2 linked regions of the Rattus norvegicus genome follow. The protein of the gene in region 2 purifies or fractionates together with the protein of the main gene of each other region. This does not show direct contact. Links are inferred from orthologs where the notes say so. Each region holds a gene or a part of one and is shown on either strand. Other genes may lie near its edges.

Evidence for each region.
Region 1: the proteins of Mycbp (region 2) and Spag5 purify together in Homo sapiens (co-immunoprecipitation; 3 studies listed by BioGRID and IntAct, with this or other methods). This does not show direct contact. The link is inferred for Rattus norvegicus from reciprocal best matches to the Homo sapiens genes MYCBP and SPAG5.

The regions. Positions count from the first base shown.
Region 1 is NC_086028.1:63,691,856-63,696,105, reverse strand, and holds the start of Spag5 (sperm-associated antigen 5), read right to left. Parts: upstream 2,807-4,250; 5' UTR 1-2,806. UniProt on the Homo sapiens protein: Essential component of the mitotic spindle required for normal chromosome segregation and progression into anaphase. Required for chromosome alignment, normal timing of sister chromatid segregation, and maintenance of spindle pole architecture.
Region 2 is NC_086023.1:141,419,555-141,423,813, reverse strand, and holds the start of Mycbp (C-Myc-binding protein), read right to left. Parts: upstream 3,088-4,259; 5' UTR 3,017-3,087; coding exon 3,002-3,016; intron 2,856-3,001; coding exon 2,783-2,855; intron 1-2,782. UniProt on the Homo sapiens protein: May control the transcriptional activity of MYC. Stimulates the activation of E box-dependent transcription by MYC.

The sequences.
Region 1 (4,250 bases), on a different chromosome or scaffold from region 2:
GAGGTCCTGAGTTCAATTCCCAGCAACCACATGGTGGCTCACGACCATCTGTAGTGGGATCTGATGCCCTCTTCTGGTGTGTCTGAAGACAGTGACAGTGTACTCATATACATAAATAAATCTTAAAAAAAAAAAAGAAGTGTTGATGAAGAAAAAGAAGCAAACCAAAGAAGAGCTTTAATGTTAGAAACTGTAGGTTAGTCACAGTACGTGCGTTCATCAGGACTGTACTGTTCATTAACTTTCTGCTGGCTACATGTAGCTTTGCATTCTTCAAATGGGAATGTAATACAGGTGTAAAATGCACATTTCAGACCTTGTATGGGGAAAAATCTTTTAATATTAATTACATAGCGGAGTATTTTTTGGCATGCTGGGTTAAATAAAATATATTAAAATTTCTTGTTTTAAAACCTTCTGAACATGGGTGACAATTAGAATTACTTATGGAGAAAAATGGGGAGCTGACTCAGTATAGAGCTTGTTATGAAAGCTTGAGGGCCTGACTTTGGATCTCCAGTACCCAAATAAAAAGCAAGGTGCAGAGCAGAGCATGAATGACAGTCCACGGCTTTAATCCAGCACTGGAGAGGCAGAAGCTGGTGAATCTCTGTGAGTGTGAGGCCAACCTAGTCTATACAGCCAGGGCCAGATAGACCCTGTCCAAAAACAGCTGGGTGCAGCAGTTTTTGCCTGTAATCCTAACAACATGGCGGTTAAGACAGAAATGAGAGGATTCCCTGGAGTTTGCTGCTCAGCTAGTCTAATGAATCACTGAGTTCTGGGTTTAGTAGCAGAAAATGTCTTGAAAAACAAGGTATGGAGTCATTGAAAAAAATACGTAATGTTGACATCTGGCTCTACAGACCCCCATACATGTGAACAAGCATGCAGGCACACACAGGAACATGTATAAACAATACAAGTTATAGTAATTTGTATCTTATTCCTTTTTTTGTGACAGGGTCTCTCTGTGCACTTGGTGCTGTCCTGGAACTCAATAGATCAGGCTGGCCTTGGACTCATAAAGAGACCCACTGGCCTCTATCTCCTGGGTACTAGGATTAAAAGCATACATGTCTTGTTTTGTTTTGTTTTAAGCTAGGCTCTAGTGGTGTAGATTGGGCTCCTTTCAACTCTTCCTCTGCCTCCCGAGTGCATGCCTTATACTTCTATTGAACACTGCCACTTTAGAGACAAAACAGTGCCGTTCTGAAGGCATTAGAAAAACTGCTTGAATAAAAATAGGGGGAGACATATAGGTGGGTGGTGCTGAATATAGAGCCCCAGGGCCTAGCACATGCTAAGTTTGTGCTCTACCAAGCAACTGCTCTTTTCCCCTCTTGAGGCAGGATCTCTCTTTAGCCTAGGGTGGTCTCACTTTTTTGGCAATCCTTCTCCCTCAGAGTCCTGAGAATGCTTTTGAGCTTGGGATTGACCAGGGCTCAGCAAAAGCTATCTCAAGGAGTATTTGTGGTCTCAGATGGCTACTCCTGATTGCCAGCTTGACTACATCTGGAATGAACATCCAGAAATGGAGGATACAGCTGGGATCCAGATCTTGATGCTGGAAGACACAGGCTTCTGACCTGTATCTTGACATAGAGATTTTGAGGCATAGTGACCATGAAAACTTTGAGGCCCAGGCAAGGTAGTATATGGCTTTAATCCCAGGAGACTGAAGCAATCAGATCTCTGAGTTCAAGGTGCAGGTGTGATGGTATACACCTTTAATCTGGGCCACATTTTCTGCTGGAGGCCTACGTAAGAACAATGGAAGAGGGAAAGCTCTCTATTCTTTGCCTGCTTGCACTTTGCCAACACATCTGTGGGAATGAACTAACTTCTTCCAGCTCATACAGAAGACAGAGTGGGACTGAGCCACTACTAAATACTTGGACTTCCACTCACAGCTGCCCATTGTTTGGTTAGTTAGACTGCAGACTAAGTCATTACAATAAATTCCCTTTAAATATATGGAGACATTCCATAAGTTCTGTGACTCTAGAGAACCTCTATGGTCCCTCGAAAAGACCCAGCAAATAAATAGTGGGAAGTGTCAGTAAAGTCCAGGCAGATAAATGTTAGCAAAAGTTTGTATCACACAGCTGTGTGTGGGATGCTCAGTCCTTGTGGCAGTTAGCATGTGAGATCCCAGACGTTTTCATACAAAGATAGTGTGCTCCCAGTAACAAATACGGATACGGAGGAGTAGATAGGAAGGAAAACCCTGTAACACCTTGGTCAAAACCGTATTTGTGATAACTAAAACAATAAATGCAAAGATAAATTAAAGGTAGATCAAGTCTATCTCAGGAAATGACCAGTTGTATGTACACTTTTTTTTTCTTTTTCCTTTTTCTTTTTCCTTTTTCTTATTTTCGGAGCTGGGGACCGAACCCAGGGCCTTGTGCTCGCTAGGCAAGCGCTCTACCACTGAGCTAAATCCCCCAACCCCCCATATGTACACTTTTATATAAACACATATATGTACATACAGACTAATTTTGGGGTTTTTTTTTTGGTTTTGTTTTGGTTTTTTTTTTTTTTTTTTTTGGTTCTTTTTTTTTTTTGGAGCTGGGGACCAAACCCAGGGCCTTGCGCTTCCTAGGCAAGCGCTCTACCACTGAGCTAAATCCCCAACCCCAGACTAATTTTGTTAATACACACATACATTCTTTTTCTTTTTTTTTAAAGATTTATTTATTTATCATATACAAGTACACTGTAGCTGTCTTCAGACACACCAGAAGAGGGCATCAGATCCCATTACAGATGGTTTTGAGCCACCATGTGGTTGCTGGAATTGAACTCAGGACCTCTGGAAGAGCAGTCGGTGCTCTTAACTGCTGAGCCATCTCTCCAGCCCCTCTTTTTCTTTTTTCTTCTGTAAATTAACCCGTTTATTGCAGGCCAGGCAGGTCTCAGATGGTAGGGAGGGCTTCTACTGGTCTTTCAAGGCCCTCAGTCTTCTGATGGCAGACTTCACTGTGACTGCAGAAGTGGTACTGTAAGTCCAGGCCCCGCTGGCCACTGTTTTCACGCAGGAACCACAGTGCCAGATGCCAACAGCTTGTCTCTTCATCTTGGTCTTGCCATAGAAGGAGCAAGTGTACTTGGTGTGCTGGCTGATTTCAATTTTCTTCACCATTTTCTAGACGGAGGGACCATAGCGGGTCCTGTATCTCCCCACAATCCTGACCTTCTTAGTGCGTTTAGTCAAATGGCCAAAGCCCAAACCTGAAGTACATTTTTTTTCTTATGGATACTTTGATGCATAAACATAGATTGGTGCTGGGTCTTGCTAAGGACATAATTTCCCTAACTGAATTTTGTAGTCCTGACATCAAGGGGTTACAGGTCTGTGTTACCGAAGCTTTTCCTTTTTTTTTTATGATTTATTTATTTCATGTATGTGTGTACACTGTCACTATCTCCAGACACACCAGAAGAGGGCATCAGATCCCATTACAGATGGTTGTGAGCCACCATGTGGGAACTCAGGACCTCTGGAAGAGCAGACAGTGTTCTTAACCACTGAGCCATCTCTCCATCATCCCTTGGAACTTACTATGTAGACCAGGCTGGCCTTGTTCTCACAGAGACCTACCTGCCTCTGCCCCATTAAAGGCATGCACCACCATACACAGCTTTTGTCTACTTTTTCCACTTAGATTTTTCATGTTTCTTCTATGTTCTCTCATGTTTTCCCTCCATTTATTTATTTGGTTGGTTGGTTGGCTGGTTTAGTTTCTCCGGAAAGGGTTTCTCTGTGTAGCCCTGGCTGTCCTGGAACTTCCTCTGTAGACCAGGCTGGCCTTAAAATCAGAGAGATCCAGCTGCCTCTGCCTCCCAAGTGCTGGGATTAAAGGTGTCTGCTACAAAAATCAACTATTGGCTTTCTTCTTAAAAGAAAACACTGTCTCAGATTAGCCTTGAACTTCCTATGTAACCAGGGAAGATGACTTGAACTTTTAAAAATATTTTAAAAGGAATCTCATTTGTTTTGAGATAGGGTCCACCCCTCGACTCTGTGTAGCATGGAACTCGCTATTTGGTCTCCGATTACAGATTACACCTGCTTCCTGCCTTCTGAGTCCTGACTAAAGGCACGTGCTGCCATGCCTCTCTATTCTTGTCCCAAAGTATTACAAAGCCTTTCTAGCCAACTGATAGAAGTCTCGTTGAGGGGTTGAGGATTTAGCTCAGTGGTAGAGCACTTGCCTAGCAAGCGCAAGGCCCTGGGTTCA
Region 2 (4,259 bases):
GCCTTGAGCTCACAGAAACTGCCTGCCTCTCTGAGTGCTGCCTCCCAGGTGCTGAGATTAAACACTTGCACCACTAGGCCGGCAAGGATCTACAGGGTGTGACTATTAGTGCTCTTGCCTTTTCCTTCCGTCACTGCATCCTCACTTCCCTCCAGCTCCCAAATTCCTGCCTTGGTGTCTGCATGGCTGGAGCCACAAAGTGTTAAGTTTTGTGTTCTTTTCTGTGGAATAATTGTGCTTTTTATCTGAAGAGAATTCAACCAAATCATATTCGCTTTTGCTTTAGAAGCTAAATTTACTGTTATTACAATATTGGGGAGGAGGTAGAAATCAGAGGACACAGTTCAGAGACCTATACCCTCTGCGAATCAAACTCAGGTCCACTTGGCTTGGCAGCAAGCACCTTCACCTGCTGAGCCTTCTGGCTAGCCCTTAGCAGCCTAGGTACTTAGAGCCTTTTAAAGTTTGCTACCCTGCTCAGAATAACTAAAATGCTATTCCATCCATTCACCTTCTTCCTGGATGCTTTTGTCTAGAAGGTTATACAATTTGGGTTTTGGTTTTGGGTTTGTTTGTTTTTTGTTGTTGTTGTTTTTGCTTGTTTGTTTGTTTTTTGGCTGGTTGGTTAAGTTTGGTTTTTTGTTTTTAAGATGTAGTTTTACTCTTTATCCAAGGCTGGTCACAGACTCAAGCAGTCCTCCTATTTCAACTGGTCAAGTGCAATTAGAAATGAAACAAGATGTCGACAGTCTTCTGCATATGCCTCAAACCTTTGAGACAAGGTCTCCCAGCCTGGAGCTTCCATCCTTTTGGCTAGGCTGGGAACACACACACACACAGACCGCCTGGTTTAGTACATGAGTGCCGGTATCTCGACTTTAGTCCCTGTAGTTGTATATCAGGTAGTCTTAACCTCTAAGCCATCTCTCTAGCCTAGCTCTCGTTTACTGTTTTAGAGAGAGACAGGTCTTGATATGCGCTCCAGGCAAGCAGTGAATGCCGATCGGCCTTCCCTCACTAGAGCACTAAAAACATGTCACCATGCCTGGCTTCTTACATTGTTTTGATGTTAAAAACAACTTTAAATCCTCTCTGAAATGTTGCTGATAGGAAGATGTAAACGTGTATAAAGCATCTATGTTTGACCCTTTAAAATTGGTTTCCATTCTCTTAAACAGCCTGCATTCAGTTATCTCCAGTTGCTGTCCATCTGCCTTGTACTGCTCTCGCCTGTCCACTCACCGCATCCATTTCTTTCCCCCTGCCCTCCCCACACAGATTATTTGGGATCAAAAGTGTATCAGTCTTTATCTCCAGAGGTTGAAATGTCTACTCATGAATAATGAGACATTTTGGGGATGAGATCCAAGCGGAAACTTGAACTTCACTTACATTCCATTCGGACCTCATCCACATAAGATGAACATGGTCTTGAACAAGTACATACTCCTAGGCTCCTGAATTATGACTGACATAATTTATGTAGTCAAGTATGGGATTTTCCACATCAATGCTCAGTAAGTTACAGATTTGGGAGCAATCCAGATTTCAAATTTTATACTTATCTATACTTTAAATTCTGTTCACGGTCTGCCCTCTGCTACTCCATGTAAAATGTCACACCTTTATCCTGGCTATGGTTTAAATTATATGTCAACCACTAGCTGGCACTGTGTTACAGTGTGTGTCCCTAACAAGCTCCCAAAAGCAGGGACATGTCTGTGGCTGTGCCCTTGGTACCCAGAACACAGGCTGGAATAAAATCATCACATCAAAGAAACATGAGGGGTTTTTACCAGAATTCCAAGCCATCTGTGACACTTCCGATGCCACAAAGTACAGTGGTCTCACAGAGCAGTTCCTTATATGTTGCTCACATCGACTTGCAAAACTACATAAGGAAATTAGTAGTAATTCTAACTTGTCAGTTCATCCATGTAAAAGAATTAAAAGCCCTGCTTTCTTCTAAGTCCTTCCAAATTTTCCCCTAGCTTTTGTTTCACTAAAAAGCAGATACAAAATTATTTCCCAGACACCTCCTATTCTCAAAAGGACCAAGGGTTCAATCCCTGCCAGCCATTCCATTCTATTCCCTTGGAAACACCAAGCAATGTTGAGTTCTTACTCAACATGTAGCAGGTATTCAATATACTGTTAAGGACAGTTTAGCTGTATTCTCTTTCCGGGAATCCTTGGGTTCAATCACCATACCCTCTAACCTTACTCCCAGAAAGGAAGGGATGCACTTTAAAAGTAATCTTCCATTGTTTTAAAGTAAAGAGTATAGCCATTTTTATGTGCTCTGAAGCACTTTTCAAATTGTAATTCCACTTTAATTATGATATCTACACAAAGTAGGAATTACTACAGGCTGAAAGAGTTGAAAAGCCACAGCCCAAACTGTCTGTGATACTCTCCAGCTTCGGGGACTAGAGCCACTTAATAACCCACTTTCAAATCCAGTAATTTTCTTAGTTGCCTTTGTCCAAAGGAAAAATTTGTAAAATCCCGCACACTATACGGCGGGAGCAATTGGGACCTCAAGGTCTCTTGCTAACGTGTCCACTGCGACTGCTCGAGGGAAAGCAACGGAAGTTGGAGAGACTTTGCAACAGCTGCAAGAGTTTCAGTCCCGGGCAGAGAGCGACCACGGGGGTGAGGCAAAGTCCCGCGGCCGGTGTGCGCTCAACCCATGGGACCCCAAGGCCTCGCTAGTCCCCGGGCGGGCCCCACCTGGTCAAGAGCGCGCGGACCTTGGCTGCAGCCGCCCGCCTCCGCTCACCTTTCGTCAGCGTGTCCAGCACCCCCGACTTCTCCAAGTACCTCCGGAACTGCTCGCGCTTCGAGTCGGCGGCCTGAGGAGACACGGCGGGTCAGGGACCGGAGCCCGGGGCCGGAGCAGGAAGACGGCGCGCCCCGCCGCCGGCCCCAAGCCCTGCACGCGCCCCAACTCCCACCCGGCGCCGCCCGCACGCCCCGAGCCACGCCGCGCCCCCCTCACTTTGTAATGGGCCATAGTGACAGCCACAGCGGCGTAGCTGGCGCCGGAGACACTGGCTGGCGGGCTCCAAGCCTCACTGCTCCTGCGCGGAACGGCGCGCGCGTCTGCGCACTGGGCAGGCACGGGCCGGGACCGCCGGGGTGTGGCCTGTTTTCATGGCGACCGGGACGCTGTGTATCCTTGTCTCCTCGGAGCCCAGAGAGACTGCGTGCGCCTGCCCTACGCGGTTCCGGGCAGTCTCGCATCTTCCTGTTCCGGTCGCCGCGGAGATTCGGTTGCCTAGCAAGAGGCGAGGTTTCGGTAAAGCCGAACGAACGTCCTGTGAGGCCCAGTATGGGTGTGTCCGGGAGTTAGATGCTTTAAGCGTAGCATCTCTCCACGTGGTAGTAGTCGCGCACTCCTTGTCTTTTAGGTCTTTGGTGGGGAACCGGTGTTTCAGTGTTTCTTGGCTCTCAGAAAAATACCCAGCACAGGAGAGGTGAAAGCAAAACAGGAAAAAGTTCAAGGTCACCCTGAGCTATATAAAGAGTTTGAATCTCTCTTGGACTCCATGTTCAGGGTGCTCATGTAAGCCCAGTACGGTTTGCAGATAGCAGCTGGCTGGGAGAAAATTTATCTCTACAGTAATGTTGGATTAGGTGAAAGACCTCTGAAGTCGTGATTCTTTTCCCTGCCTTTGTGTCATTAGTTTTCTTTTTGTTTTTTTTTTTTTTTTTTACCCCGTTGGTAGTTAACATTAAGTTCTTTTCCATATATTATGCATGTATTTATGTTGAAAATAATTATAGGTAGTACTAAGTATGTATGTCTCTCTAGTTCCTCCTTCGTTCAAAAATGCTTATCCCACTTTACCCATCCAGAAGCCACCCTACATGCAGAAGATGAATTTAAAATGTGGCTATGCTGCTGGGTTTGTTTGTTTTGTTTTGTTTACTGAGAACATTTCTGGGTGCAGAAGAGGGCCCTTTGGTGAATTTGTTGTTGTGCCTGCTACTTGGCTAGATATTGTTTTGATGTCTTTGAATAGAAGTCATTCTATTCACCGAGCGCTGGTGGCTTACGAATTTAGTCTCAGTGCGAGGAAAGGAGAGGCGGCTGAATCTCTTGAGTTCGAAGCCAGCCTGGTCCAAGATGACCAAGGCTACACAGAGAGACCCTGTCTCCAAAACAAAACAAAGAATTCATTGTGTTCTTGTTTCAATGTAAGGCCCTATCCTCACCTTTTTGGGGCAGGGTATTCATGCCTCGGTGCGGTTGG